4 linked regions of the Lonchura striata genome follow. Each later gene encodes a partner of the first gene's protein in a complex. Links are inferred from orthologs where the notes say so. Each region holds a gene or a part of one and is shown on either strand. Other genes may lie near its edges.

The links.
Region 2: the proteins of RPTOR (region 1) and ZFYVE28 are in contact, whole or in part, in a cryo-EM structure (PDB 9F43), measured with the Homo sapiens proteins. The link is inferred for Lonchura striata from reciprocal best matches to the Homo sapiens genes RPTOR and ZFYVE28. Residues at the interface, in NP_065812.1 of Homo sapiens: Arg54, Arg305, Arg306, Thr317, Asp321, Phe337, Arg338, Leu341, Ala344, Arg348, Leu437, Gln438, Leu440, Leu441, Ser442, Gln443, Arg446, Pro474, Tyr475, Lys478, Leu479, Gln481, Ser482, Ser483, Ala484; in NP_066023.2 of Homo sapiens: Arg399, Val400, Phe401, Phe402, Met403, Asp404, Asp405, Val406, Glu407.
Region 3: RPTOR (region 1) and RICTOR share a complex: the UniProt entries of both Homo sapiens proteins name them as parts of the mechanistic target of rapamycin complex. The link is inferred for Lonchura striata from reciprocal best matches to the Homo sapiens genes RPTOR and RICTOR.
Region 4: the proteins of RPTOR (region 1) and EIF4EBP1 are in contact, whole or in part, in a cryo-EM structure (PDB 6BCX), measured with the Homo sapiens proteins. The link is inferred for Lonchura striata from reciprocal best matches to the Homo sapiens genes RPTOR and EIF4EBP1. Residues at the interface, in NP_065812.1 of Homo sapiens: Arg54, Arg305, Thr317, Asp321, Phe337, Arg338, Leu341, Ala344, Arg348, Leu437, Gln438, Leu440, Leu441, Ser442, Gln443, Arg446, Tyr475, Lys478, Leu479, Gln481; in NP_004086.1 of Homo sapiens: Glu111, Ser112, Gln113, Phe114, Glu115, Met116, Asp117, Ile118.

Annotation. Positions count from the first base shown.
Region 1 is NC_134621.1:11,400,819-11,408,809, reverse strand, and holds the start of RPTOR (regulatory-associated protein of mTOR), read left to right. Parts: upstream 1-4,986; 5' UTR 4,987-5,235; coding exon 5,236-5,397; intron 5,398-7,991. UniProt on the Homo sapiens protein: Component of the mechanistic target of rapamycin complex 1 (mTORC1), an evolutionarily conserved central nutrient sensor that stimulates anabolic reactions and macromolecule biosynthesis to promote cellular biomass generation and growth.
Region 2 is NC_134606.1:9,003,989-9,011,970, reverse strand, and holds the start of ZFYVE28 (lateral signaling target protein 2 homolog), read left to right. Parts: upstream 1-4,979; 5' UTR 4,980-5,133; coding exon 5,134-5,172; intron 5,173-7,982. Other genes in the region: CFAP99 (cilia- and flagella-associated protein 99), read right to left, coding at 1,459-1,578. UniProt on the Homo sapiens protein: Negative regulator of epidermal growth factor receptor (EGFR) signaling. Acts by promoting EGFR degradation in endosomes when not monoubiquitinated.
Region 3 is NC_134642.1:36,611,098-36,618,533, forward strand, and holds the start of RICTOR (rapamycin-insensitive companion of mTOR), read left to right. Parts: upstream 1-4,426; 5' UTR 4,427-4,457; coding exon 4,458-4,506; intron 4,507-4,665; coding exon 4,666-4,713; intron 4,714-7,436. UniProt on the Homo sapiens protein: Component of the mechanistic target of rapamycin complex 2 (mTORC2), which transduces signals from growth factors to pathways involved in proliferation, cytoskeletal organization, lipogenesis and anabolic output.
Region 4 is NC_134634.1:4,353,533-4,361,154, reverse strand, and holds the start of EIF4EBP1 (eukaryotic translation initiation factor 4E-binding protein 1), read right to left. Parts: upstream 3,014-7,622; 5' UTR 2,923-3,013; coding exon 2,775-2,922; intron 1-2,774. UniProt on the Homo sapiens protein: Repressor of translation initiation that regulates EIF4E activity by preventing its assembly into the eIF4F complex: hypophosphorylated form competes with EIF4G1/EIF4G3 and strongly binds to EIF4E, leading to repress translation.

The sequences.
Region 1 (7,991 bases):
GAGGAGATTTTTGAGTTCCTCTGTCAAAACCAACGTTACTGGTTTACCTTCCACAGGCGAGCCAGGCTGGATTTCTCCATTCTGGGACTCTTTTGGTGGGATCCCAATCTCTTGGCGGTTGCCCCTCTTATCACAGATCATCAAACCAAACCGGTTCTAGTTCTGGTTCCGATTCCAAAGCAACCTCCCTCCCCATCTTTGGGCTGGCATTTCCAAAGGCAGCTCCATGAAACAGCTTCCAGATTCCCAGGTCTCAAGTGAGGACAGGATGAGAAATCCCTGTAAAATGCTGAATTATTTCTTATCAGCCAAAGGGAAATGTCAGGTCCTGCCTGTCCCGTGGGAACGTGGGCTGCAAAAAGAAGCTGAAGGCTTTTGGGCTGAAGGCTTTTGCCAGACATGGGAGGAACCAGCGGAGCTCCCGGTGATGTGGGGCGGTTTTGTCAGAGCTGATACCGATCTACAACAGCGACGTGGTGTTGAAGGAAACATTTCTGCGCTTATAACGAGGAAACCAGAGGATATCTGCCGAGGTGACATCGATCACGTGCTGTTAAAACACGCATAGCGCCGTCACCTCGCAAATTGCCCGGCCTGGAGGAGACAGAGGGAGATAATGATAACGGATGAGCGGCTCGGAGATGGATGCCGGGGCTGGAGAACTCTATTAACAGCTCCTCCAAGCCCTCCGATCTATCGCATCCCCGACTATCGAGTGCAGCCTCGCTCAGGCTTTATGAGAAAAACAGCTCCATTAAGCAGCCGATTGTTGTCAGTGTGCGCAGGGGTCGCTTGAGTCTCCCCTGCGCCGCCGGGAACACAGAAATCTTTACATTTGCCGTGAACTGAAGTCGCCTTTGGGGTCAAACGCGGCGGCTGCTTCACGGTCTAAATGACTTCCAACTTGTGTACTACCTGGAATCCGAGGATGTCAAATGCACTCATTAACGAAACTCTACAGCCTCTGATTCATCCGGAAACTCGCCCTTTTATAGCTCAGGGGAGGCAAAGCCAACAGATAAAACTCTCAGATAAATCTTCTGCTTCCAAAATCTGCATCACCTTTCCTTTTTCCCTCTCTTTTCTTCCTTGGTGAAAAATTTCCCCTGATGCCAAAGTGTTTCTTCCATTAAAAGAGCAAGGAGAGATTTTTGACCTAGTATTTATTCTGGCCTTTTCAGCGTGAGACGAGAACATGAATCCCTGCATATTCCCAACGGGTGCTGCTGACTGAGATGCCACTTTACACCCTTTTTATGTCTCCCATATTTTTGAGGCAGTTTGACTGTGCTCAGAAGAGCACATCCCTTCACATCGGGGGCTGGGGCACTGCAGAACAACGGGTGTGGGAAGAGGCTCAGGGGGCACCTCCTCACTCTCTAAAACTCCCTGGCAGGAGGGGGCAGCTGGGGGGGTTCAGGCTCTGCTCCCAGGGAACAACAGGACAGGAAATAGCTTCAGGCTGTCCCAGGAGAGCTTCAGGTTGGATATTGGGGAAAATTTCTTGCTCCAAAAGGATTGTCCAGCCCTGGCACAGCTGCCCAGGGCAGTGGCGGAGTCTCCATCCCTGGGGGGATTTAAAGGCCTTGCAGATGTGGCACCTGGGGACATGGCCAGTGGTTGGGCTTGATCGTCTCTGAGGACTTTTCCAACCCAGAAGATTCTGTGGTTCCTGTCTGGGCAGGGAAAGCCTCAGCTTTCCATCCCTGCCCCGGTGCCTGTGCTCGGAAAGGCGGAGCTGCAGCAGGAGCTGCTGCAGGAGCAGCTGCGGGGAGGAGACACAGCACCAGACCCCCCCGGCAAGGGATTCGGGGTTCTGGGGAGCACCGGTGCCTGTGTGAGGATTGCTCGCCTGCAGCGAGGGGGCAGCGCCGGGAGCGGCCGCGGCTGCTCGGTCTGGCCGGGGAGGTCACCGGGAGGCTTCCCGAGCCGGGAGTCAGTGTGTGAATCATGTTTTGATGCGTATCGGCTTTGGCCCAGAGCCCGCCCGCCCCCTTCTCACCTGCCTCCCCGGGCTCCCAGCCCCGACTCACATCTGCTGGGAAGCAGGGAAGGAAATCTGTGTGCCGCGCATGCATAAATAACACCGCTGAAACCCGGCTTGCTTAAAAATAGATATTCTTCCCGATAAATATTTTACCTACTGTCTTTAGGCTGTAAAGCTGCCCCGACTGAAATGTTAAAACGAACCTCGTTTGTTTGCCCCTAAATGCCCCAAACAGGCAGTGCTGGGCTGAGGGGTTGCCCTGGGGAAGGAACGTGGCCACCTGCACTCCAACACCTGCGCTTAGAGCCTCAGGGAAGGTGGCCTGCTGGCCTGTGGGCATTGAGAACAGAGCTTTGCATCCAACTGACTCACTTGGTGACCTGTGGGTTTGAGTAATGGAATCAAAATATAAGATCTCTCATGATATTTATGAGCAACATTCTTCTTTCCATATCTGTATTTCTTCCTGCCCAAAAGTGGAATTAGAATTAGATGGCTGAATAAGGCAAAACAAAGGACATCGACAGAGCCTGAGATAGGAGGATTTTTCATTAAAAAGAGTGACAGGTGGGAGAATGTGTCCAAATGTGTCTCTGGAAGATAATCCTGCATTTTGGGTTTAAGGGCATCACTCACGGTGCCTTACCTGACATGATACTTCCACTCCTCGGATTCCCTGGGAGCAAGGGGGTAATTTAATCTGTTATTCTGTCCAGAACCTGGGGCTGAAGGCTTGCTTGTGCATGGAAAGGGCGCTCCTGAGGGCAGCACTGGCACCACCTCTGCCCTGGCACGGAGCTTTGGCAGCAGGGAAGGCTGGCCAGCAGTGCCGGGAGTGAACAGGAGAGGGTGGAACCCGCAGTGGGAGCCGTGCAGTGGAGAGGCCAAGCTGAGATCCCGTGGGAGCGCTGTGCGTGCCCAGCAGCCAGGCTGGTGGCTCCCAGCCCACAGCCAAGGCAGCACCGCTGAGCCCTCCGTCCCCATTGCTGTCCCCGTGCCCATCCCCGTGCCCTGGAGCCCGGCCAGCAGAGCCCAGCTCACCCCAGAGAAGCAGGGCAGTGTCCCAGGCAGCCCAGAGGGGACGGGCAGCCCGAGGGAAGGGCATGGGGCACGCGGCTCTGCCAGCTGTGCCCGCTGCCAGCTGTGCCCGCTGCCAGCTGTGCCCTCGGCGGGGATTTCTGCGGCACGCTCAGCCAGGCCGGGCCCTCGCTGCCCAGAGGGATTAGGGGGATCCATCTGTGCAGCCCCAGGGACTGGGATTCCTTCAGGTGCGCTGTTGGGGTTGTTTCTCTGAGCCCTCCATGGCAGCATGTCACCCTGTTCTTTTGAAGGTTTTAAAGTTCTTTTAAAAGTTTTCTATGCCTTCTGATGTTTATATATTTCTACTGGAGTTTCTCACACATTTTTCATGTAAATAATGATTGTTTTGAATTCTTTTTTGTGGGAGGAGAGAGTTGATGGACTTGGTTTGACCAGTGTGGTTGGAGAGGTGGCAATTTCTTCCTCAAATCCACTGTCACTTTTGGAATTCTGTATATTGCGAGGTCAGAAATCAAACTTGCTTTCTTTTGCTCTTTTGATCTTAGCGTGCATGTGTGAGTTATTTTGTGTTGTAGTGCAACAGCAGCAGGTTGGAAATAAAGATCTTTAAGCTGCCGTCCCACCCAAAGCGTGCCAGAATTCTGCAATTCTCTGGTTTTGTGTGGCTGCTGTTGAGGAATTCATTAAAGGCTAGCAGAAACGAGGCCATAAGCATTTTCTGCAGCCAGGCAGTTCGTTCTGATAACAATCATGCAGCTATCATCAGCCATCAGCACAAAGCACCATGAGGCAATGAATCAGCTCCTCAGGAAAGGGAAGGAGAAAAAGCAGAAGTTGGCCACCCCAAGAAACATCATTTGCCAATCTCCCAATCTCTTGTAAAGAAAGGTCATTGCATTGGAAATATTCCATGAGTGTAAACACACTGAAAGTATATGAAAATTAATGGTTCTGTAAATCAAATTACACACGTATATTCTTTAATTTCTACTTTGAAATAATGTTTACACATTTGAGTATTACAAATGTGAATGTGGCAGGGCTCGACTACCACCAGGAGCAAACACTGAGGAACTTCCTTAGCAGCAATATTTGCTATCCATTAACCTTCAGCTGAATGGCAAGGAGGATCTATGCCTGAAATGCTTCACCTGCCTTTCCTGGTGTGTGCAGTGACCATGCACCAGACACATCTGCAGGGGGCTGTGCCCGGTTTCAGCACTCTCCTGCTCTTTTGCCCCAGAGTAAACGAGCACACAGAACAAAGCGAAGTGAAGCCCAAGATCAGGCATGGCTGCGCTGGCACCTGTGCCTGGCTGTGTTGGAGCACCAGGACACGCCAGGGTGAGGCCGGCACTGCTCCCAGCCAGCAGCTCGGCATCGGGGATTGGTTTTCAGCTGGGTTTGAGCTGAGTCTCCTCGGGGAGAACAGGGACAGCAGTGCCACACAGGGACACCAGGAGCGATGGAGAGGGCGCTCAGGCCTCGGCAGGGGCTGCCCAGGGCGGTTTGGAGCGCCCATCCCTGCAGGCGTCCAGGGCATCCCTGCATGTGGCACCCAGCGCTCCGGGCTGGGGACAAGGTGGGCACGGGGCACAGCTGGGACTCCATGGGCCGGGAGAGCTTTTCCAGCCTCGGGGTTTGGGATCCCGGGATTCCCGCGCCGGCCGCGCCGTCCCCGTGGCAACGGCCGTCCCCGCGGCGGCGCGGCGTGTCCCGCGCGGCGGCCCGTACCGCGGGGCATTGTGGGCCGGCCAAGATGGCCGCCCCCGTGCCGCGGTGCTGAGCCCAGCCGCGCTCGCCGGCGCCCCGGGACGCGCGTCCCGTCCGCCGCCGCCCGCCCCCGCAGCGCAGCTCGCCGAGCCGCCCTCGGCCCGACGGTGTGCGAGGGAGCCGCGATGGGCCGGGCGCGGTGCCCGCCGCAGGGAGCGCGGGGCCCGCGGGGGTAGAGGTGCGAGGGAGGCCCCGGGCCCGGTCCCCGCCGGTCCCTCGGTGCTCCCCGGGCCGCGCCCCCGAGCCCGGCCGGGGCCGCTGCCTGCGCCAGGTGAAGGCGCTGCGTGCCCCTGGTCCGTCCGTACCCGCGCACCGGGGAGCGCTGCCCCCGCTGCCCTTGCCCCGGCCTCCCCCTCCGGCCGGAGGGACCCCCGGCCCCGCTGGGTGCCGGGCTGGACATCGCTGCCCACGTGCTGCCCGGCGCCTCCCCGCCCATGGAGTCTGAGATGCTGCAGTCGCCTCTCCTGGGGCTCGGGGAGGAGGATGAGTCCGACCTGACGGACTGGAACTTGCCCCTGGCCTTTATGAAGAAAAGGCACTGCGAGAAGATCGAAGGCTCCAAGTCTTTGGCTCAGAGCTGGAGGATGAAGGACCGGGTAATGCTCCAGGGCACCGTGGGGTTTGGAGCAGGAGCAGTCGGGGGACATGTGGAAAAGGAGTCGGAGCTCAGAGGGGGCTGAGCTGTTGTCAGGTGAAACGCTGCCTGTGGATGCCACAGTTTGTGTCCCAGTGCTGCGGGACTGGGGCAGCAAACCTGCAGCTGGCCCAGAGGCACTGCTGTGATGTTTACAGCCCTGGGCATTTGGAGCAGCTCCACCACTTTGGCGCTTTAAATGCAGCTTGGTGTGTTCTGGGCAAGGCAGTGAAGCACCCGAGGTCAGGAGGAGCAGCAGGTGCAGGAATTGCAGCTGCACAGGAGCTGGGTGGGTTTGCTGTGCCAGCAGGGTGCTGTGTGCAGTGTCCAGTGAGGGTGTCCTGTGCACAAACAGCTTGTGGGATTTTGGAGGCAGGACACAGTTTTCAGACAGAACTCTGGCTGTGTTACAGCAGGAGCTCCTGGGGTGTCTGGGGACATGTTGTGTGTTCCTGAGAGCACTGGGAGTGACAGAGACACGTCCCAGCTGGGAGTCTGGGATCCTCTGCTGCCTCTGTGGGATGTCTCAGTAAAGAGCAAACAAAGCACCTAAGAAATGTCCTGGACCATCATCTGCCCTCATTCTGTTCTTGGAGCCTTGCTGGCTTTCCCAGCTCTCAAACCCATAACTTTGTGTTTCTAGGTATTTATGGGTTTTTCTGGTGACCAGTTTTCCAGTACGTTTATGATCCTCTTGTAACAGGATGGAATAACTTACTGAAACTGCAGGCTGTGAGCTCTTTGCCCAGGCTATCCCTGAGTCTCAGTGTTCCCAGAGTGGTGGTTGCATTTCTCAGAAGTTCTGAACCGTGGACTGCAGGTGGGACTTGGCAGCTCATTGCTGGGTTGAACTGAGCACTTTGGGTGTGATTTAAAGGCAGCACAAGGCAGCACAAGGCACCACGTTGGGTGCTGTGCTCCAAAGCGTTCTGGCACACAGGAGACTTTCTCCAGTAGACTGTGGAGGTGTGATGAGCTTGCTGGTCTATTTTAGGTGCCTCTGCCTTCCTGAGATGTTTCCTGTTCCTTCATCCCTGATCTGCAGAGTTGCCTCTTTCTAATTCAGGAATGACTTTGCCCTGGTTGTGCTGATCATAGGTTGTGCAGCAGCAGCAGCAGCAGCACAAGTTCAGGGGGTGCTCAGGGGTTCTCTTTGGCTGCTGTGAAATGTTTCATGTGCTTGCCACCATCAGTGGCAATCCCAACCCAGCTCCTGCTGCCCGAGTCCATGGAGCTGCATTTCCCTCCTGTGGGACTTTCCGTGCCAGAAACGTCGTGGTTGTTGCTGCTGCTGCTCGGTGGGGCTGGGCCCTGGGTCACTCTGCAAGATGCTGAATCTGACTCTTGTGAAAGAAGAAAATAGAAGCAAAGCTCGACTTTTCAGTTTAGTCCTATTTTTGCTGTCAGCTGGAGCCAAATGACTTCACACCAGGGCCAGTGGTGTGGCTCGGGTGTCGTTTGTATCTGGGCAGTTGGATCAGGGATCCTTTGGACAAACTTGCTGTTGTGTATAATTACGTTTTTGTTGAAGAGCAGGTACATAGGAAGATACCAAAAGCATGTAAAGACACCTGAGAGAGGAAGAGCAGCTGATTTGAGAATGCTCAACCTCATTACTTTTAAATCTCAGCAGCTGTTTGTCATGTCTTGTGTTTTATTCCCCTTTTCAGCTATCACTAGCTGTCTCCCCAGTGCTTAATGAGAGGTAACAACCACAGAACCTCAGCTGGGGAGGGAAGGGGATGGGGCTTGGATTGCTGCAGGGGTGATGTCCGGTAAATATTTCCACCCAGTGAGCTTGAGTTTGGCTAATCCTGCAAAATAGTTCATAAAATCTAATCTGGTTTGACCTCGTGTCCATGATCAGAAGGTGGAGGGAGGGCAGCTCACTCATGCTGCTGTTTTCCCATGGTCCAGCTGGGTGTGACAGGTTTGTCCAGGGAATGGAGCACCTGGAGAAAACCCCAGGAGCTTGGTGTTTGTGGGGTTTTCCTGTGAGGCAGTGGTGGTGTGAGGGCAGCCTGTGCTATCAGGGTGAAAACTGATGGGTTGTTGATTTTCCCCCTTTTTGTTCCTGAACTGCTTTGTTTTGTTCTCTGGCACCATAAATTAATTACTTCTAGTTTCAGCTGTCTTCAGGAAGTTTCTTCTCTTCCTCTTTCCTTGCTTTCCAGCTCTGTCTCCAGGGTGCTGCTGCAGCTCTGTCAGTGCCCACAGCCCCTGGTGTCCCTCTGCCCCTCCAGCTCAGCCCCTTCCTTCCCTGCAGGCCCAGGGGGAGCCTCTGTCCCCATCCCCAATTCTCTGCAGCTCCTGTTGTCTCTTGGCTCCCTTTCCCACAAGCCAGGGCTGATGGACCCGAGGTGTGCTGTTCTCTCTGGGCTGCTGCTGCTGCTGCAGGAGGTTCCCTGAGGGCTGGAGGGGATGTGCCTCTGGCTGTGAGCTGAGTGTGGAAACCTTGCAGTGCCTTCAGTCTGAAAAACGAACTCCTCCCAGCCCGGGCTGGGCCATGCCTGTTCATTAAACACCCCAGCCTGTCTCTGAACGAAGAGGTGCTCA
Region 2 (7,982 bases), on another chromosome or scaffold:
GAAACAGAAAAGAAAGAATTAAGTGAATTTTTCATGATGAATTTTAATCACCCATTTGGTACTGAACCAAAATTGAATTTTATATAAACACAGGTCTTACTTTTTACTTTCTTCGATAAATTCTATGAGACCTAAAAGTAACCCAGAGAAAGATTTTGGCCTTGCCTTTGGCCTCAGCTATCCTCCCTGTCCTTCCCTTTCTTAAAGGGTTTATTATGAAACTTTGGATTCATATTTCACTAATTAATTCATATTTCACTCCTTCTTTTGTCTTTGTATCTATCACCTTTCCTGGGCTGAGAAGAACAATGATCTGAAGACTCATATTTTGTAAACATTTATTTTGGCAGCAGTGGTAACTGAATTTACCTGCTCTCTGCCCAGTGAAAAATGATTACTTTGAAACTGGATCAGTTCCCTGATGTAATTAGAATATAAATCACAAAGAGTTAAGCCAGTACTACAAGGCAGGAGGGCAGGGTCAGAGAAAAGGGGCCTGAGTGGCAACTGTTGGAGAAGGCAAGCACCCCAGGAATGGGTGTGAAGCCACTGCTCAGCCCCTGGCTTTCTTACCACACCTCCACAGTTTTATATTCCTTTAGTTCATTTGTATTTATGCAAAATCAATGCAAAAGACTATCTGACTGGAATAGCAGTGGTTTATACCTTATTGTCAGAAGGGGAAATGAGCACTGGAGCCACATGGCAGTGTGGAATCAGGGCTCCAGCAATGTCATTTGATAACACACGGCACACACAGACAATAGCAGTCTAAACAATATTACTGTTTTCCCTTAGTGATTTGCTAAAGCTGATTCACTCCACTAGCTGCCTCAGCACAATTCAGGGTGACACTGAGGACAAAGAGATGGGAAGAGGTGACACATTATGGTCAGGAAAGGATGGAAACTGCTTCAGCCAGAACAGAAACAAATGGGAAAATCATGGTCTGGTTACTTGCAGTATTACATTAGAATCTGCTGGCTGATTTATTGTCACTGTCCTTCTATCCCACTGTTGTGGTGGTCACTTATGTCCTCAAAGCAAGAATACCTGATCTTGTGACTCAGCTTCTGACCTGCATTTGTACATACAAATGGGTGGTGCTGTCAGAAACTTCTGCTTGGAAGGAAGAAAAGAGTAAGAATCTTCAAAACAGCTTAATCAGAAGTGGAACAGAAGTTTTCCCTATGACTATCTCATCAATTTTAGAAGGTTGTTGCTTTTTTTTCCCTTCCTCTTGTTGTTATCCAAGCAGTTTTTCAACCCCTCTGGGCTTTACTGCCATGTTTTCTGGTGATAACCATAAGAAATTTAGGCTTTACTCATGAACAAAAAATGTCACTGTAAGGGAAATCAATGAAAGCTACAACAACACGTTAGAAAACAGATACCTTTGCATTTAAAATCACACAGTAACAAAGTAAACTGTGTAAGATCAACCAAAACTTAATATACCTGCAACATCATAGCTGATTCATTCAAGAAATCCTCCATGCTCTGATATTCAGGGTTGAATTTGTTAAGCTGTTGCACTATTAGTGCAATAAGTTCTCTGTGGCTGACCATCTTCACCATGGAGAATCCTATAAATACAGAAAATCATTATTTTTTCGTGCCTCCTTCAGTTGTGGCATAATGCATGGTGATAGGCTCATACAGAAGTTAGACTGCAGTAATGCAGAAGAGAACATTTAGGTCAAGCTTTCAAAATCACAGTTACTCAGAACAGCTGACAGGGGAAATGAAAATACAGTACAAACATCAAGAAAACAAAAGACAAAATGACATATTGTAAATATCTCAAAATATCTTAAGGATAAATGCTACTGCACCAGGTTATTTGACAAAATATAATTAAAGATAATATAGAAAGAAACATGGACTTTTCCCTGTGTGCACACAGGTCCTACTTAACACACTGCTGTTCCCAGTGAGATGTATCAGAAAGCAAAATTTTAGTCTTAAATTTCATCACATGTTGCTGTAAACAGCCTGTTTTTCAAAAGCAACAAAAGAACAGGAACAGAGAGGAATTATAAGGAAGCAGTGACTGTTGGTCAGCAGGCTGGGCCATGATCACAGCATTTCAGTGGTCTGGGCCACTGCCAAGGTTTGTGAAGGCACAGCAGTTGAGTATTTATGTTTGATGCTTTTCTTGTGAAATGACTGGATTTTGTCTCTCTCAAATGAAGCCTTACCCATATGTCTGAGAATGTGTAGGACTTGTTACCTCAATTTTAATGTTCAGATGACAAGAACTATAATGCATTTGTTCCTACACACACACACACACACACACACACACACACACGTTGTTGTGTATGAAAGACCAATCACAGCAATTACCAGGCCTGAAAGTCATTAAGCTGGTTTAGCAATGGGAAAAAAAAAAAGAGAACAAAAGCACCTTTCCATGGTGAAAATAAAAATGTAATTTTGAAAATAATTCTTGTATTTTATATATCACAATATTTTGACGTCAATAAAGAATGCCTGATCCAGATGATTCATCCCCACTGTGGTAAACATAATTAATTTCTCCGTTTTAAGTATTATGATAATATTTCCAGACACAGTGGTATTGTACTCTACCTTTCAGTACCATCTTACTAAGTAATTGCCTAAAAAGCACTTTTCATTCCTAATCTCAAAGAACTGAAAAAAAGAGTTTGTCTGTGATTACATTCACTATAGCCATTTAGGTACCTGTTATGATTAAGACAAAATGTCTAAATAAAAAAAAAAGTCCAGCAAAACAGGGTTGGATCCTAATAAGGGATGACAAATACAGAAAAAGGCACCACTGTGCAAGGGAATCACTGTTACTCCACTCCTCTGAGAATCATTTTTTTCTCAGGTAAGAACCTGCCAAGGTTCTTACACTCACAAGGGATTTTGGATAAGCGAGGGAGGAATATCTCTGTACTTCAGAGTGAATCATAATTCAGGCTCCAACAGCTCTGCCAGTAACAAATGCTTTTTGTTCTGGCATACCAGTAAGAAATTCGAGCTCTCATGCTCTGATATCCACACCTCCTCCCAAATAACAATCATTAAGCCCCAAAACTGGAATGTGAAAACTAAGATGCCTTCAGATCTCTGAACACATAGGGGGTCTTAATAGAAAAGACCCCACTTCTAATAAGCTGTTATTATTTTTGGCAATGTTTTAAAAACATACACATTGAGAATAAAATGCTTCTTGTATGATATGCACCCTTATTTCCACACAATCGATTAGAAAACTACTCCAGTTATTATGTATCAAAGTGATATAAATTTATACTGTGTATAAAATGGCAGAAATTTTCTTCCATTATCAGCTGTAGATTTCAGTTAAAGGAGGCGAGAACCTGACTTGACCTTATTTTATGGTGGAGCTTGGAGATATTTTGAAAGCAATTACAGAGGATAAGAGTGGCCACAATTGTAGGAATTGGTTTCAGTGACCTGAAAGGTTCTTTCAGGTTTTATATCTGCTCCCACATTCCTGGCCTAGAAAGACTGTGATTGCACTTCCTCTAATGAAAGCTGTCCTTAAAAAGAGCTGAACTAAGCCTCCCTGCAAAATTCAGACAGATCAGATGGAAAATGTTCACTTTGAGGATCTTAATTTTACTTTTCATGTATTTGAATGTTTTGCATACCTACTGCAAGTGTTTTCCTTAACATGACGTGGTATTTTTTTTATCTCTTAGCTTGCACAACTTTATAATTAAATACTTATTGTACAAAACCTTCTGCAAATAAGTTTTACTATGTTTATGAGGTGGGTTAACAAATGTTCACCAAGGCTGGCTACTTGCCCAAAATTTCAGGGGACAAAGCCCAGCAACCCTGTCCACAGCATAACACACTTGTAAGGCCCCTTGATGCTTTCTGTTGTACTTACAAACAGCTAATAAATACGAGCACTGAAAGAGAGCAGGTTTAGATTAGACATTCAGGAGGAACTCCTCCCTGTGAGGGTGGTGAGGCCCTGGCACAGGCTGCCCGGAGGATTTGTGTGTGCCCCATCCCTGGCAGTGCTCCAGCCCGGTCTGGATGGGGCTTGGAGCAGCCGGCTCCCGAGCAAGGTGTCCCTGCCCAGGGCGGGGGCGTTGGGAACGGATGAGCTTTAAGGTTCCTTCCTACCCAAACCACTCTGTGATCCTAGGACTGCATGAAAACAAAGGAGCGAAGGAGCCACGAGCCTGCCCAGGGCACCCGCCGCTTTCACGCGTCGGGAATTGCACCCGGCTCGTTCCGGGGGTGTCACGTACGGCCACATCTGCCTCGCCCGGCCGCTGCCCCTCCCGTCCCCGGCCGTGCCCGCCGCTCCCGTCCCGGGCTGCTCCGTGTCCCGGCGCGGTCCCTCCAGCCGCGGCGACCCCGCGCGCGCCGTTGCCAAGGAGCGCGAGGGCTGCTGGGAGCTGTAGTCCTGCTGCGAGCCCGCCTCAGTGCTGCGAAACGGCGCGACCGGGCACCCGGAACTACACGAGCGCGGAAACAAGATGGCGGCGGTTGTTTGCTGCCGTTGCCACGGAGCTAGTACCTTTCCCCCGGGTGTTTCCGCTCATGGACAGCCAGCGGTCGGTGGCGCGCCGGTTGCTGGAGCACGGACAGCGCTGGCGGGCGTTGGTAGGGTCTGCGAGTCCCGAGCGGACGCGCGCAGGGCGGCCCGCGGAAAACTACAACTCCCGGCAGCCACCGCAACAAGGCGTTAGCCGGGGCGTGGCCTGCGCGGCACGCATCTTCCCGCCCCCTCCACGTGTTACGCAAATGAGCAGGTTGATGGGCGGGGCAACTGCGCGTGCCCGCCCCGGGCCGCCACCCTATTGGGTGGGGAGGGGAGGGCGCGGGGGCGGTGTCGCGCATGCGCGGTGGGGCGGCGCTGCCGCCGGCCGCGCAATGTTTTGGGGGCGGTCGGGGCGGCGCGGCGCGCGCGGAGCCGCCGGACGGTCCCTGCGCTGACGGGAGCGCCCGGCGGCCGCTCCGCGGGGAAGCGCGGCGGAGCGGGAGCAGAGCGCGACCCGGGGAGCTCCCAGCCAGGGGCACGGCTCGCCTCGGTCCTCCGAGCGGCGCGGGTGTGGAGCCGGCAGCTCCCGTGGCAGCGGCGGCGGCGGCAGCGGGGTGCCAGCGGCCGCGGTGATGATGAACAGGTTCAGAAAGTGGCTGTACAAACCCAAGGCAAGTTGCGAGGAGCCGCCGCTGCCCGGGGTCACCGTCACGGCGCGGGTGGAAGTCGGGACGCGGCTCCCGGCGCGCAGCCGCGGGTCGCTCCGCGGCCGGGGGCGCCGTGTGGGGCGAGCGGAGCCCGCGGGCGGAGCGCGGGAGCGGCGCGGAGCGCGGCGCCCGCTGCGGCGGGATGACAAAGCAGAGCGGGAGCCGCGGGGCCGCTCCGAGCGGGAGCCGCTCCGAGCCGCGGGAGCCGCTCCGAGCCGCGGGGCCGCTCCGAGCCGCGGGGCCGCTCCGAGCCGCGGGGCCGCTCCGAGCCGCGGGGCCGCTCCGAGCCGCGGGGCCGCTCCGAGCCGCGGGGCCGCTCCGAGCGGGGGCCGCTCCGAGCCGCGGGGCCGCTCCGAGCCGCGGGGCCGCTCCGAGCCGCGGCGCCGCTCCGAGCCGCGGCGGGCTCGGGGCTCCGCCGGCACCGCGGGGAGGCGGCGGAGCCCGGGCGGCGCTCCCGGGGCGCTGCGGGCTGCGCCGAGCCCGGCTCCGGGAGATGTTCGGGCGCTCCTGTTGTGCCGTTAACGCTGTGTGTGTGCACCTGGAAACTTCGGAAGTTAGGAGATTTACTGCGAGGTGCTCTGTGAGTGTTTTGTGCCCTTCTCGCTTTGAAATTCTTGGAAGGAATCCAAGAATCGCAGTTTGCTTTGCAACGAAATTATCATCCTCTGCCTCGAGTTAAGTAACAACTGTCTGGAGAGTGATCTTATCTGGTGTGTGATGTTCGGCTCGTAAATCAAGGACATTACTGGTTTTGAACATCTCTAGCATCTTTTTCTTGTCCGGCCGTTACAGCAGTCAGTATAGTTATTCACTTTCTGAAGTATTTGATTTAATTTTGGTTTCTGTTGGTCTCTATCAGACGTTTTTTCCTATGCTTTGCTATCAGTCTTGGGTCTCAGTTTGTGCACCTTCCATGTACTCCGTTCTTTTGGCTGTATTTTGGCCAGTATGTTGCAGTGAAAAAAAAAAAAGCCAAGGTGATGCTGTAAAATAAAAGTTCATATTACACTGGCTTTATGGATTTTACATGTAGTCCTAACTTTTGGGAACTGCTGAAGAACGCATAATTGTCAGATATTGCTGCTAATAACTGCAAGAGAGAGAATGTAGAGATTTAGTAACCAGAAATACAGTAACAAGTTATAGGTAACTTAAATTGAATTTTCTTATTTGTAGGTGTTTTATACAAGGGAAGAATAGTTAATGAACAAAAAGGAAAACTGTTAAATGCAGAGGAAATATTTTTCAATACAGCTCTTGTCACTGTTTTTTAAACAAAAGTCACTAGATTTCACATTGTTTTTCTTTCTTATAGCAATTTTATCTTTTTGTGATAAAACTTGTTTTTTAATTTGCTGACCCTTTCTTGTAAGGCATGTGTTGGGCATTCAGGATCTGTATCAAATAAGGTATACTTATAGTTCTGTGGGACTTCTCTTGGGGTAAAGTGACTTTTCAAGCCTGTTGCATGACAATGGGCCTCATAAATCAGGAACGCCTATTGTTGTTGGTTTAGAACCAGCACCACTGCTTTTTGTTGTCTATTTATACCTTCTTTGCCAACAGTTTTTCTTAGTTTCAGTAGCTTACGACGTCATTTTTGTTCTGGTATTCAGAATGCATTTCTGGTGAATTGTAAGAGCTCCAGAAAAAGGCATTTTTCCTGGTGTGCTTGTTGAGTGGGTGTGGATCGTGTCATTAAATACACAGAGGTTTGAATAGCACTTCTTTTATAGAAGGTGAGGCAGAGGATCTCACATGTAGAGACTGTACCTTTCCTGGTTGTATTGCTTGCTTTTGTATTTAAAGGAATTTGCAATGTTTCCCAAAAGATCAGTGGGTTCCAGAGTCTGTTTTGAATGTAATGTGTTTTGAAGAGGACTTTGCTGAATACTTACTCTGGTGGGGGCTCTCAGGTCTCAGGATTTATGTTACTTCTGTTAGGTACTGTGGGCTCCAGGTGCATTTTATCAGTTAGGTTTTGCTGCTCCCAGTGATGGGGAATACTTCTTCTGAAATATTCCAGGTCCTACTGTCATATAATAGGACTTGTGTATGGCAGCAGATTTTGATACCACTGGGTGTTTGGCCCAGAGCTTTGGTGTCTATTCAGAGGTACTTTTGAAGGCAAGGGGTGGGATGACATCAGAGTGCAGCAAATTCATAGTACAGCCTGCTCAAAAATCTGAATATATGGTGTAGCTTAATCCTAGGGGAACTATTTCATAATTCATCCCTGAAAAAACACAGCCCCAAAATATGTAAATTAATTCAGCTTAATCTTTTTAAATGGTGGAGACAAGGTAATGAAATAGAGTGCTTAACAAGGTGAAATCACAAAAATCTTGGGGTAATCATGAGTTACTGCAAGATGCACGACCTGCATCGAGGCAGGGGTATTTACTTGGCAACTGCTGCATCTGTTTGAACATACCAAGAATGAGAGAGAAAATGTGGGTGTAGGAAGTGGAAGATCTTGACTAATGTTGTGAGTGTGTCACGGGAACAGCACGGCTTCCCTAGATCCTTGTTCAGTCAGTGCTCTTCCTGCCCAGCTCTGTTCCTCAGGTATGCTGATACGCCAGATTCTGATAAACTGGATCAAATGCCAGCGGTAGAGGTAACCAGAGAATGAAATAAATAGCAGTGACGTGATCTGTAGAGCTGCCGGGAGGCAGACTTTTAACTGATGTATTGGAGACAGAGCAGAGACAAGATTTTGTTTCCAGCCTCCTGTGCCACATTGATTGTTTAATTTTTAAAATGTTGTCTGT
Region 3 (7,436 bases), on another chromosome or scaffold:
TCTTTCCTATTATCCAGTCTAAACCTCCCCTGCTGAAACCTGAGGCCATTTCCTCTTGTCCTATTGCTTGGGAGAAGAGACTGACCCTCACCTTCCTAAATACAACCCTTGTCAGGTAGTGTAGAGAGTGATAAAGTCTCTCCTGAGCCTCCTTTTCTCCAGGCTGAACACCCCCAGCTCCCTCAGCTGCTCCTTGTAGGGCTCCTGTTGGAACTCAAAATGTCTCTCAGACATTTTTGGAGGTTCCAGGCCTTGATCAGAAGCATTTTAGACTCTGGCAGGCAGCTGCAAACAGCTGTGATTTTGAGTTCGATCTACAGAATGAGTTACCAACTTTGGAGGTGGAACAAGCAGTCACAAAAGCTTAGATAATATAGTAAAAGTAGTTACAAAATAGAGGGGAAAATTTTTTAGTATTGTACAGGGGGAGTTTAGCACCTGTACAAGGGGTTTTTACTTTGTACATGGGGGTCAGAAGTTCTAAGATGGAGGAAAGTGGGCTGATCCTGTTCTTCCTCCTTCTTCTTCCTTGCCTCCAGGTTCTTGGTGATGCTGGCACTTATGGATTGGTTTAGAGTAGAAAAACACCTTGTAGCATAGGTAGTAGGTATTGGGGAAAAACTGTAAACATATAAAACATAATATAGCATATAAAAATAGCAGCATCCCTGGGCGGGGAGAGAGAAGAAGAAGACAGCAGACAGTGAGGGTGTCAGGAGTGTGTGTGCCTCAGCCCGGGCCGCTGACCAAACAGCCACAGTCCGCAAAGACAATCTTTTAGATAACTAACAATAAACTGCCTTGAGACCGAATAACAAGAGCCTGTGGAGTTTTTCTTTGGAAGCACGGGTTGGAGGAGAAATTTCACCACCACATGGGACCCCAGAGCAAGCCTGGGGATCCCACAATGGTTTCTTTATATTCTCCTTTTCATACCTCTATTGACAGTATTAGCTGCTGAGAACAGAGTTTTATCATGTTCTATGCAGTTTGATGGGCTTCATGTCAAGAATAAGACTAAACAAATAGAGAGATTACAAAAACTCTTGCTAACAGTACAGAAATATCAAAGAAAGATTGATCCCATTCACTAGATTTTCTTATCTTCCTGTTTGTCCACATGTCATTCAGTATTTATCATTCATTTATAGCCAATTTGATGATATTGCAAATTAAGGAAGAGTACTGCAAGTACATTTCCGTATGATAAAATACTCTTCAGCTACAAATCAGACTAGCTCAGTTGAATTCAGTAAGTTATCTTCTTGTGTGCATAGTTTGATTCAAGTTTATGTTTTTTCTTCTATTTCTTCCATTTATACAATGGACAGCCTGCAGCTGGTGTACATTGCACACCCATATTCATTTCCATGGAGTTTAAATGATTCAAGACAGTTAAGGCTCTGCCATTAGCTTTCTCATTTGACCCCAAACAAGTGAAAAGCTTTCCTTTTTGATCTTTATTTTGGATTTTAATTCTTGAAGATCTATAGCTCACGTAGTAGTATCTTCTACAGTATATGGCATATCACTGTTCAGTCTGTAAAAACGCTGCCCCACACATGAGAGGGCAAAAGCAACAATTTTGTGACTGGAAAAGGAAAGGAAAAAGCAGTTTCTTTTTGAGCCCTTTGCATGCAAGCCCAGAAATGTGACTCAGGTTTTAGAAGCCCCTTTCCAGTCCTTAAACATGTAGGAACATTTTACCCTGGTTTCAAGACCAACCTGCCTCTGCACACCTCCAGGTGACAGTAGAGGATTGTTATAGTCTCATATGTCACACTTTGCAGTTGGGAAAGGAAATACACCAGCAGCTCACAGGAAATTCTGCTTTCACAGTCTGTCCTTGTGTCTCATTTTGGAGATTTACTAAACTACATAGAGAACTAAACTCCATACTTTCACATAAAAATGATACATGAAGAATTAAATTGAAGCATTCTGATTCCCCATTTAGCCACTAATATATCTATTCTTTGACTAGATTTATAGTGATTTGATGTATTTTGTTTTAGAGATTGAATGACAAAAAAATAAATAGAAGAGGCTGCCATACACTGGATCAGCTGTAATCCGTGACACAAAATCCAGGTGAAGAAACTAATTTTCTCTTTAGTATTAATTTTCCCCTCCAAAAGGGAGAAAGAGATTTTTTTTTTCACCTCCATATTTCTCCCCTTCTGCACACTCAGGAGCAATAATTGCTGATGAAAGTGCGTAGAAAATTTGACAGGCTAGGAACTTTAAAATGTTTTAAATAAACTTTTGTGATTCTTTCCCCACATTTGAGTGAAGACAAGAACATAGGAAAAGCTCCTAAAACACATCCAAACTAGGGTGGGAACTCCTTATGCCACAACATTTTAAGGCCCTGACTTTCCTTGCAGCCTTATGTGTGAGGCTGTTGGAGGTTTTTTGTTGTTTTTTCCTTTGTTTGTTTGTTTGTTTTGTGGGGATCTAAGTGGTAGTTAGGGTTAATGCATTCTTACTCTTTTCCATTTCTCCATAATGAAAAATTTAAAATCTAAGTGTTATTTTTCTTTTCTTTTTTTTTTTTTTTTTTTTGCAATTGTGGCAAATACTAATTATACCTCAAACTTCTTTTAACAGAGCACTTATAAGTGACATTATGACATTCTTTTATGTGTCATTATCAGAGACAACCTAAATTTTGCCTGCAAAATCCAAATATAATTAGTGTGAAAAAGACACAGGAAACTCAAGCCCCCCACAATGAATGTAACATTTTGATTATTAAAGAGTGTCTGCAGGAAAACATCTGCAAAAGAATACTCTGGGATTTACAAACTACCCCTTTCTTATTCTCCCTTGTTGAAATACAATGTTTAGGTTCTCTTGAAGTACCTCATGTCTTCTACACTTTTTATCTCTTAAGGAAGAAGCAGGTGCTGAATGGCCGTAACATTTAGCATAAGTGTCCAAAGCAATTTAGATATAGATAACAAGTTCAAATCCAGTCCAGATTGGACCAATATTTAGTGGGGACACAAAGTCATGTGAAAATAATTACACAACAGCAGAATTTGTAGAAAATAGGATGCAGCATTACTACCACCAGCAGTTAATTTGGCATTTTCAGGAGGTCAAGGGATCCATGGACATGAGATCCTAAAGACAGCCCTGAGACATATTAATGAACCTGATCAAGGAAGTTCAACCTGTTCCTGTGTTATCAACAGATGAGCTTTTATTGTGTAGAGCTTTTAATTTTCAGAATCTTTGGCTCCTCCAAAACATTAGCTTCATATTTAACATATTTAAAAATCACAATGCAGAAGTTTTTTGAAGATCATATTTTAAATTAAGTATACTTGATATAGCTATAGAATAAGATTTTTCTATGTCTGGCATTAACGGATATGCCAAAAAGTTTTTACACTCTGTCTTACCAAATAATTATTTTACTCTCCTAAATCAGTATTAATGTTTTAGAAGTGAACCAGTAAATGTAAAAAAAATGAGAGGAAACTTAATGTTCATGAATACATAAAATCCCCAGATTTTTATAAGTAATGCTGGATCTGAATTAAAAGACCTTGAGAGGGAAAATTCAGACTGGAAAATTATTTACTAGAAAACAGGAAAGCAGTTACCTAAGCCTGTAAAGGTATTTTTATATGGCTAGCTACATCCACATTTCAACTTTATAATTATTTGCTGGATTTGATTTAGAGAATTTGGGATGTCAGAGTTAAAGGATCTGCCTCATCCACAGGTGTCTGTAACATCAGTGTGTGGTGTGGGGTGCTATCAGCAAATTTAAATTTCTCCCTAAAGATGAGCCAGTACATCAGTGAACGGTTTCTGGCAGTGGGACTTCTTATCACATTGGGGTTCTGGTTTGTTCTTGTTTTTTGTTTTTTGTTTTTTTTTTTTTTTTTTGTTGTTTTTTTGTTTTGTTTTGTTTTTAAATTGCATATATTTTATTAACTAAGTTTCACAAATGTATAAGCATTACGAAGTAGATCAGCACTCGAGACTAAAGAGAGACCCGCTACGTACAAACCAAACAAGTGACGAAAAGCTATTTCTTTTTTCCTGTTTTTAATTAATTCGCGCTTTAAAAAAGCAGAAAACATCCGGCGTACAAAGCCGACGGTCCGCACCCACGTGAATTACCACCTCATCACAAGGCCCAGAAACCGGGAGGGGAAAGGAAAGGAAGGAAAGGAAGAGAGAGAGAGGAAGAAAGCGAGAGGAAGAGAGGAGGAGAGAAAGAAAGAATCAAACAAAAACACAGCAAAAACAAAACAAAACAAAACAAACACACAGGAGGAAAAGGAGCGATTTCCGCCGCCAGGCCGCTGCCGAGCCCGCCCCGCCCCGCAGTGAGGGGGGCGGTGCCGGGCGGGGGCGCCCTCCGCGTCGGCGGCGCCGCGCGCCTCGCCTCGCGAGAGCGGGCGAGGTTTCCGGTGTTGTGGCTGCGGGCCGCAAACATGGCGGCGACGCTCCGCGCCCGCTCGCTCAGGCACCTCCGCATCCGAGGTGAGGAGCGTCCCGCGGGCCGCCCCACCGCCGCCCGCACCGCCACGGTGCCCGCCGGCGTCTCCCGGCGCCCCCGCTCCTCTCCTCCCTTTTTCTTCCTTATCCCCGGCTTCTTCCTCCCCCCCCGTCTAACGCGCCTCTCTCCCCCCGTCCCCGCAGGTCGGAACGACAGCGGCGAGGAGAACGTGTCCCTCGATCTCAGCCGAGGTACGGCCGAGGCGGGGGCCCGCCCGAGGCGGGCTGGGGGCGCGGCGCAGCGGAGCGGCCTGGTGGTGCCGCGGGGCGGGCGCGGGGCCGGGGCCGCCGCCGGGGGCTGAGCGCAGCCGCCCGCGGGTGGGAGCCGCTCCCCGGGCACCGTGGCGGGGCCGTGCCCGGGCAGCTCCGGAGCCGCGGGGCTCCCTGCTCTCCGCCGTGCGTGCCGAGGCTGCTCGGCCGCCGCTGGGGCTGCCCTTGAAGCCCCTGTTGCTCGCAGACAGGGTTGTTCACGGCGGCCAGCCTTCCGGCCGACCGTGCCCTGCGTCTCCGAGCAGCAGCTCGGCAGCGGCGTCTGTTCCTCTACTCCTTACTCCATTCCTTTTTCGTGTATCTCTGCGTGCCCTAGGCCGGCTGGCCACCCCATTTGCCGTGAGCCTCTTGCTCCAAGACCAGCGGCCACTCATCTCCCGTTTGCTTGTTAAATTGCTTCAAACATCCTCCACTGCTCTCAGACGGTCTGTTGTGGCGGGGGGGGGGCGGGGAGGGGGAATGATAAGAGGAAGGAAACAGCGCTGATATCTGCTACACGCTGAGAAGTTTTGTCTCAGACATAACAGGTACTCGTTCCCTACCCACACGTATAGGATACAAAACGTGATCTTGCCTAGCTGAGTACTGAGGTAAGACTTAGACCCTCTCAAAGAGACTGGTATAATTCAGAAAGCAGACTTGAATGTTACTGCTCTATAAGTGGCGATATTTCGTGGGTAGAGGATACTTGTCTGGGGAGGGAATGAAGTTGATACTGGTGTGTAACTGTTCTGCTTCAGGAGATCCAGGATGACTATTATGCTGAATAGATCTATTTTATGGGGAAGTCGGTAGGGAAATGACAGAATCAATGAGATAAAAGTGGCCTATGAAATGGAAAGGAAGTAAAAATACCAGCAGAAGAAGTACTGTTTTCATTTTAGAATTGTTGATACTGCATTATACGTTATTTAATTCTCTTTTCCCACAAAGTAAGCTGTGTTTAGAGTTATTTTATTAACCAATTTTGTCGTGGGCTGCAAGTTATCTCTGTGTATACATACCATATTTACAAGTGAGTTTTAATAACCTGGCAAACTGCTGGGGTTTCCTCAGTTTAAAGAAACAGACTCTTATTCTATCTCCCAGTGGACATGATCACTTTAGAGAACTGCTGTCCTTAAAAATTAAAGCATGTGAAGCTTTCATCAGCAAAATGTGGAAATGAAGGCCTTAACAGTTTAAGCACATGACAAAGTTGTTACTGTAAGCAATGTTGCCCGTTTATGAAATCTGCAGAATTAGTATTTTAATGAATGGGTCTTGTAATTTTTTTTAATGTTCTGTAGCATACTGAAATATTTTGAGGTGAAAGAACAATACATGAAATTTAAATGCTGGAGTGGTACTTTCGAGATGTGGTCTGTTTGAAATCTTCTAATCAGTATTTGATAGGTGACCATCATTGTGATATTGATTTTTGCCATGCGGTGTTTTCAGCTGCCTGCTGATTCCAAGAGACCTGTAGTAGTAGCAGCACAACTATTACACGTGTATAATATTGTAAAAGAGGCTCTTGAGTAAGATGCAAACTTCATTTTTAATATGTGCTTTCATTTTATTTTTTTATTAAAAAAGGTATTTTGCACTGTGGCAATGTATCTTCTATTACCAAAAAGAATAAATCATTGGGGAAATCACATGAGAAGCTACTTTAAATTTAGATGTTAAAAACCCAGTGGTTTTCGATTTTCTGTTAGAAAGACTACAGCTGACTGATCAGTAACCGTATAGCACTCTATATCTGTGTAGATATTAATTGCATTTTAAAGAGGAAACAAAAATAAGAAGCTTAAAAGTCTCAGCAAGACATTAAGCTAGAGGATAACTTGATTTCCATGGTGAACACAACGAGTATTTGTTTTTCCAGCTGTTACAATAGTTATGTAAGCAATTATTTTAAATATTTTGTTACCCTAATTTGGTACTAATAGCACAATGTTTTGATTCACTGTGTTGTGCAGATCACATAGTTTTCCACAGGGCTCACGTTTGCATTAGCTTAAAAGAATGTTCTAATGTTTTTTGTTTCCTGGTACAACTGAACTTTGTGTTGATTAAAGTGAAATATCTGATTTGGGAAAGCAGAGAATTGCCATAAACAGAGCCTCAGCCATATGCTTCTAGTTACAGGGGCCTCTTTGTTACAAACACAAGAAATTATATTGGTACTGCCTTATTTTGGATAGGTTCCTGTTAGTAATGGCATGACTTATCCCAGAGGTTAGACCTTGACTCGTCCATACCTGTGACTACACTTTCCATGCAAGAGGCCAGTGCTGTTATGAAGAATTTCAAAACAAATAATAGATGTGGGGAGAGCACTCCAGTCTGTGCTGCCCTGAGTTCTGCTTCTTCCTGGCTTTTTGAGCAGTAAGGCTTGAAGAGTGCCTTGCTGCTTGCAGAGTGATCTGCATTTCTCTGTATAGTTTGGTTTGCTCTTTTCTCTGGTCCTGTAGTTACATGGTTGCTCATGTTTTCCCAGAAGACACCAAGCTTTTTACAAAGTTTTAACATGACTGCTATACTAGGTTTACTTTTTGGAGCTTTTTGGTGCTTTGCCTTTTTAAAAATGATACATTATGCTTATGAAAGCCATGTTGCATGGTGGTGAATGCTTCATTTTGTGTGTAGGTATGTGTGAG
Region 4 (7,622 bases), on another chromosome or scaffold:
GTGATAACTGTGAGGCAGCACTTCAGCCTGGGTTACCCTTCCAGAATTCCAGGTGCGCTGACACTGTACCTGCCACTAAAGGTGACACATTGGTACCCAAACTCTGCCAGCTGCTGCCCCAAGGCAGCACAGGGCTCCAAACCCCAGGCAGGGGCTGCAAGCAGCAGATCCAGCCCCTTCCACCTCGCTCAAGGTCACACCAGCCCACAGAGCAAACAGAAAACTGAATTTAATTCCCACTGATGGCTGAAAGCTGCAGGTGGACACACACCAGGGGACAGGACGGGGCAGAGCCGTGTCCCTCTGAGCTCTGCCCAGCGGGAATTCCTGCACAGACACTTCCCTTGGCACAGCAGCACTTACACATACCTTGCTCAGGGCTTACACAGATGGTTAATGTTCCAAGGCTTAACCAGGAACCACCCAGCTCCAGCCAACCACGCTGAGCCTCCAGGCATGGATTTCTAGGAACACCACTGAACACCCTGTTCCTTATAAAGGAATTTCATGGAAACAGCTCAAAAACCACAGGCAGAAAAGGGATCCCTCCAAACAGCCCACAGCCTTAACCCAGCAAGTGCTGGAAAAGAGTGTTTGCTTCACAGGAGGAGGCTGCACACCCCTCTGGATCAGGTGTGCCCTGCTCTGCTCCCGTTCCAGCCAGAGGGAAAGGGACTTGTCCTTGTGCCCTCCCCAAAAGCATTAACTAAAGTACACACGTGTGGGCAAACAGCTCCTGCCACCATCTGTCCCGGAGCAACCAACTCCCTGTGGTTTGAACACTGTAAATATACAATAAATACATAAAACAACACGTCCAACAGCTGAGTTCTGCCAAGGAGTTCTCAAAACACCAAAAAGCTTTTAACTGATGATTCTGAGCTCCAGTTTTCGGGAGGACGATCCATCCCTACAGTCAGCTGCCTGGGAGAGGGGTGTTAAAATTCCTGGGAAGCTCCAGGAGGAGGACAGGGATTCCTAGAACTGCAGCTCTGTACCAGAACTGGGAGCTTCCACCTTTCTCCAACAGCCTCACGCCCAGAGCTCCTGAAAGCCAGGGGCCAACTGGAGCAGGACACTCGGGGCAGGACACTCAGCTGGGGCAGGACACTCAGCTGGGGCAGGACACCCAGCTGGGGCAGGACACTCGGGGCAGGACACTCGGGGCAGGACACTCAGCTGGGGCAGGACACCCGGCTGGGGCAGGACACCCGGCTGGGGCAGGACACTCGGGGCAGGACACTCGGGGCAGGACACTCAGCTGGGGCAGGACACCCGGCTGGGGCAGGACACCCGGCTGGGGCAGGACACCCGGCTGGGGCAGGACACCCGGCCTGGGCTGTCACACTCCTGCACCCACCCAGAGCCGCGTTCCCCGCAGCTCCCCGGTGCTGCCAGGGGGTGTTAGCAGGAAAACACACACAGCACGGGATGCTCTGCTCCCTGCAAGCCCCTCAGGGCACACACACAGCCCCGGCTGTCTGTCCTCCAGCAGCTCTGGAGCCTCCCTCCCGTCAGCACCGCAGCAGGGCCGAGCAGCACACGGTGTCCCCAGCACGGGACACGGCGGCCCCGGGCAGGCGGGGACGGCCCCGGGCGCTGCCAGGTGGGCACACCCCGGTCACAAACGCGGCCCAGCTTCTCCTCCTGCTCCAGGCACTCAGGAACTCCGCGGGGACAAAGCGCTGACAGCCCCGGAGGGCTCATTACTGCGCACCACTAATTGCTCATTTCATTTCTGCCGCGCCAGTCGCTCGTTATTTCATTTCTGCCGCCTGACCCGGGGCTGGGGAAGGCTCCCACACCTCGGCACGACTCCTGCAGGTGCTGCTGGAGCCTTGAGCGATTCGCTGCTCCCAAGGAGGGAAGGCAGGGCCAGGACAGCCCCAAAGCTCGGCTCTCCTGCACACACAGCCCGGTGAGTCAGCAGTGCCGCTTCCTTCTCCCCGCGTTCAACCCCTGGAGTCCTGCGGGGGATCGGACAACCAACACCCCCTCCCTGCCCTCCCACGGTTCGTCCTTTTGGCTTCAGCCTTCCTGCTGCTCGCATCCAGCCGGGCAGGGATGCAGCGATCTGCAGCGGCACCGCGGGGAGATTCTACAAGGTGTGGAAAGAAAATCATCCCCAAATCGCCCCAAGCCGCGGCTCAGGGGCAGCAGAGGCCGCTGGAACTCCCCGCGCTGACCCTGTGCCATCACCTGGAACTTCTCTGGGGCCAAACTGCCAAAAATGAACAGCCAAGGAGTGCTGGGGACACAAAACCTGTCTGACAGAGGAACGCTGGGCACAACCAGTTTATTTCTCTTAGTCGAGGATCAAATCCCTACAGGAGGCTCCTCTCCTGGCGGCTCTGGGGCTGCAGCAGACGGAGAGGGAAGGAGCCCACGGCGAGCTGCAGCAGCAGAGCCCCGCGCCTCCAGAAACCGGAGCGGTTTGCGATTGGAAATAAAGAAAAAGGTCCCAGGGATTACTGCCAGGGAAAACAGCAAATATCAGCGCTCAGAATTAATCAGTAACCATGGAGAGGCCGGGGCTGCTCCCTGCCAGGCTCCCCAGCACGCACCCCCGCACCCCCGGGCAGGCGCTGTCCGGCTGCCCCGGTCCCCCGAACTCCACCGAGCCCCGGCACCGGCCGGGGGCTCCCGGCGCTTGTCCCGGGACAGAACGGGAGCGCTCCCCCGGCCCTGCAAACCCTCGCTCAAAGCGAGCCGTCCCTCCCGCGGTGAGACCTCCCCGCTCCCCCCGGCACGGCCCCCGCCGGCCCGGCGCTCACCGCCCGGCGTGGTCCCGAACACGGTGCCCCCCGGCGTGGTGCTGTAGTCGCCGGGCGGCAGCGGGGCCTCGTCGGGCAGGGCGAGGCACTTGCCGGGGCCCGGGATGTCACGACTGGGCGTCTGCCCGTGGCAGCAGCGGCCCGACATGACAGGAGCGATGACGGGAGCGGCACCGGGAGCGGCACCGGGAGCGGCACCGGCGCTGCCGCCGCCCGCCCGCCGCTTCCGGCCAGGGCCACGCCCCTTCCGCCGCGGGGCGTGGCCGGGAAGGGGCGGGGCTTAGCAACAGGGAGGCGTGGCTATGCTAATACAGTTGGACTTTAGGGGGCGGGGCTTAGCGACAGGGGCGGGATATGCTAATACAGATGGGCTCTTCGGGGCGGAGCTTAGTGACAGGGAGGCGGGGCTATGCTAATATAGCGTGTTCTTTGGGATGGGGCTTTAGCGACAGGGGCGGGGCTATGCTAATACAGATGGGCCCTTCGGGGCGGGGCTTAGTGACAGGAGGCGGGGCTTAGCGCTACATGGGCGGGACTCCTGGCGGGTCCCCTTTTCTCCCTTTTTCTCAATTTTTCTCCCCTTTTCTCCCTTTTTCTCAATTTTTCTTCCCTTTTCTCCATTTTTCTCAATTTTTCTCCCTTTTTCTCCCCTTTTCTCCATTTTTCTCCCTTTTTCTCCCTTTTTCACCCCTTTTCTTCCCTTTTTTGGCCCTGGACACCCCTGGCCTGTGCTCCCCGCTTTTGGGGTCGCGCTGCCCCGTGCTTGGCGGGGACCCCGCGGAGCCCCCGGGGGTGTTGGCGGCGCTGCCCCTTCGTGGCCGCCGCTGCCCACGCGGGGTGGCCGCTCTGGGAGGTCCGGGTGCTCCCGTGGCAACGCCGCGGGGACAGATGTCCGCCCGGCTGCCCCCATCCCAAATGGCTTTGCCTCCCCCGAGGGCCGGGAACAAATGCGGGAGGAGCCGGGGGGCCACACACGGGTCCGGCGCCCCCCACGCTGTGTCCCCGAGGGTGCTCCGGTGGGGCTGGAGCTATGGGAAATAGGGTTTGTCTTAATACTTCATTACAGAGGAGATCTAAAGAGCAGCCGAAGTGCGCTGGGAGGGGCGCAGGGTCGGCCGGGCGGGACCCCTGGGCTTGGCATGGGGGGGGCTGCGGAACCCAGGGATGAAACCTGGCGTGAAGCCCCTCCGAGCATCCCTGGGACCACCCTGCTCACGGGTACCCTCCAGAAAAAGCCCTTCATCGTTCCCTGCTCCCCCGGCCGTGGCCACAGGCTCTGCTGACCCTCACCAGACACCGGTGCGGTGCTGACATCTGCTGACGGCCGGGCTGCCGGGAGCCGGGATGCCGGGATGCCGGGATGCCGGGATGCCGGAATGCCGGAATGCTGGTAGACGGGAGCCGGGAGCCGGGATGCCGGGATGCCGGGATGCCGGGATGCCGGGATGCCGGGATGCCGGGATGCCGGGATGCCGGTAGACGGGAGCCGGGATGCTGGGATGCCGGGATGCCGGGACCCCGGGATGCCGGGATGCCGGGATGCCGGGATGCCGGGATGCCGGGATGCCGGGATGCCGGGATGCCGGGATGCCGGTAGACGGGAGCCGGGATGCTGGGATGCCGGGATACCGGGAGACGAGAGACGGGAGACGGGATGCCGGGATGCCGGGATGCCGGGATGCCGGGATGCCGGGAGACGAGAGACGGGAGACGGGATGCCGGGATGCTGGGAGCCGGGATGCCGGGATGCCGGGAGATGAGAGACGGGATGCCGGGATGCCGGGATACCGGGGTGCCGGGATGCCGGGAGCCGGGATGTTTTCCAGCGCGGATGCCGGCGCAGCCGCCGGCAGATGCCAGCAGCGTTTCGGCAGCGCTGAGCCCGTGTCGCAGCACCACGGGGTCACCGAGGCTGTGGCAGGGATTGTCCCGGACCGGGGCGTGAGGCTGCTCCTCTGGTGGGACACAGCAACCCCGGCCTGCCCAAACCATGGCCCCGGCTCCAACAGATGGAGCCCGGCAGCCACGCACGGCTCCGGACCCCAGCCCGGGGCCAGGCTCATCCCGCGGAGCCGCGGTCCCGCCCCGGGGCCCTGGGGGCTCCCGGGGGTCGCTGAGCGTTTTCTGCGGGGCAGCAGCGTCCTGCCAGGCTGGCCATGGACACGGGTGTTTCTGCCCCCGAGGTCCTGTGGGACCCCAGCCAGGCTGTGGTGCCCCCAGGCACCCCCAGGGGCCCAGGCAGGCTGTGGTGCCAAGCAGGCAGCCCTCGCCCTGTGCCAGCTGCTGAATCGATTAGTGGGCACTGGGGCAGGAAAATAACATTTCCGGCATGGAATGACATCAGCAGTGACCCCCAACCCAGAGAGGCGGCCGCTGCCATTTCCTCCTCCTCCTCCTGCTGGAGAACAGTTATGGGGTCAGGGACGGGGGAAGGTCGGGGCTTAGGGCACATCCTGGCTGGGGCAGAGCAGGGTGTCACCCTCCCGGTGCCTGCTGGAGTTCGGTGCTCCCGGCAGCACACAGGGGACAGGGACAGGGACAGGGACAGGGACAGGGACAGGGACAGGGACAGGGACAGGGACAGGGATCCTCCTGCCCTGGACAGGAGCTCCAGCTGCCCGGGAGCTGTCTGCAGGCAGAGAAGAGGCTTTGGGTACTCTCCCACCCACACCACAGCACCCTCCGGTTGCAGAGTGCTCCTCTCCAGGGCATTTTATCTGCCCATTCCACGGGCAGCTCCCAGGGCTGGAAAGCCCTTTGTCATCCTCATGTGATATGAAGTTATCGCATTATTGCCTTCTAAATCGGGAGCAGAAGTGCTCTCCGAGGTGTCTGTCCCTCCACCAGCACTGCCTTTGCTTCTGACCTGGTTTGGATCGCTGGGAGCTGAGCAGGGCTGGCTTTTGGGGAAGAATTCACTCCACTGCAGGTCCTGGGGAAGAAAATGTGTTTCATAAGTCACGAAATGTCCCTGTCCCTGGTGTGAGAGCAGCCCTGGGGGATGGCAGCAGGGGCAGGGGCCATCGCTGGCCCCACTTGCGCCCCACTGGTGCCCACTGGACTGTGATTACAGGAAGGTTTGCTGAGACAGGAAGCAAACAACCCGAGGGAAGGATAAACTCCTGCCTGGCGGGCTGGCAGCTTTCATCTCGCCCCATCCATCACCTCCTGTCTGGGTGTCTCCCGCGCGGGAAGGCTCATCCCCAGCCCCCTCTGCAGCCCACCCCCCTTGGGGGCCTGGGGACCCCACTGCAGCCCCGTGAGGGCGGGGATGGTGACGGACCCCACGGCAGTGAGGATGTCCCTGTGCCGCGGCATTTCCACCCCATCCTCTGTGTTTACATTCCCTCCGATGGCGGCTGGCGATAAGGACAGACCCGGACGAAGCCACATCCCTGCTGCCCGCCCGAGGCTGCTCGTGCAGATAAAGGCTGCCCCATAAACAAGCCCATCCTGCCTTTGGGAAGGGCATCTCCGCTGGCCCCAGCCCTCGGCAGGAAACCCTGTCTGGGACGTCCCCGGCGCTGCTGGGGGTGCTCAGCACCCCAAAACGCAGCCCTGGGTCCTGGAAACAGCCTCAGTGGCACGGGATTCACCCTGGTACCCATGGCCAGAGCCAGAGGAGCAGTGTTTGGCTCTTCCTCCTCCTCCTCCTCCTCCTCCTCGTTGCTGCCTGCAGACATCGGGCTGGAGGCAGACACAGCCTGTGCCGGCTGCAGGAGGGGACATGGGGGCTGGGGCAGGGATGGGTGCTGCTGGGCACAGCTTGGGCAGAGGGTGCCCGGGCATGCAGGGGGCAGAGGAGGGGCAGGGGGAGATCCGGGTGGCACGAGGCAGCTTGGCCGCTGTCCTGTGGTGTGGCTGGGCTGGCAGGCGGCTCCATGTGGCGCTGCTGGCACTCGCTCCCTCATCCCTGTCAGCTTCCCCCCCGCGGGGCTGGACCCTCTCCCTCCCACCCTGCTCTGGGGCACAGCTGGGAGTGCCACATGGAAGCGCCTCTCTCCCTCGGAATGCCCTGCCTGAAAGCTCTCTCTGAGGCTATTTCTGTTGTTGTTTTTTCTCGATACTTCCCACACTTTTTGTGAAATCTAGATCCGTGTTATTGCAAACTTCTCCCTCCTTCCCCCACCCCAGTTTGCTTTAGCAACAGCTGAAGGAAAACCAGAAACAACGGGAAAGGAGCTGTGAAAACATCTGTAAAGTCTTGGCAGCCCTGACGGCAGCAGGAGGACTCCCCCGGCAGCTGGAGGGAGATGGGACCTGTAGAAATGAAACCTGCAAGGCTTGATAAGAATGTCAGAAATTGGGAATAACTGCTGCAGGTACTGCCCTGCTGCTTTCCTCTCAGCAACGCAGGAAAGAAAACAGCTTTACTCTGATTTATTTTTAAATTTGAAACCGTAATTGCGCAGCGGTCTGGGGGGCAGGAGCAGGACCTGGGCTTGCCTTAGCGCAGCCTTGGTCACTGGCCGGGTTTCAGGATCTCGGTGCCCCTTTCCCTCATTCTCCCCGCGCTGCCGCGGCCTCGGGAAGAGCTGCAGCCCTGCCGAGCTGTGCCCGGTTCGGGCTGCCTGCTGCGGGCAGGGCAGGGCAGGACGGCGCCGGGGCAGACCTCTCCTCCCTCTGCTGCCCTCGGAGCGATGGCGGTGCCGGTGGTCCCGACCGCAGCCTCCACTGCGGGTTTCCCACCCCTCAGCCCCCAGCTGTCCATGCCGGGGTGCCCCAGGCGAGCAGAGGGGTCCCAGCAGCCCCGCCCGGGCCCTGAAGGGCAGCGCGGCTCCTTCCTCCGAGCTGCGCGTCCGTGGGGCCAAACACGCTGGGAACGGGCTGCCGGCCAGCGAGCAGTGA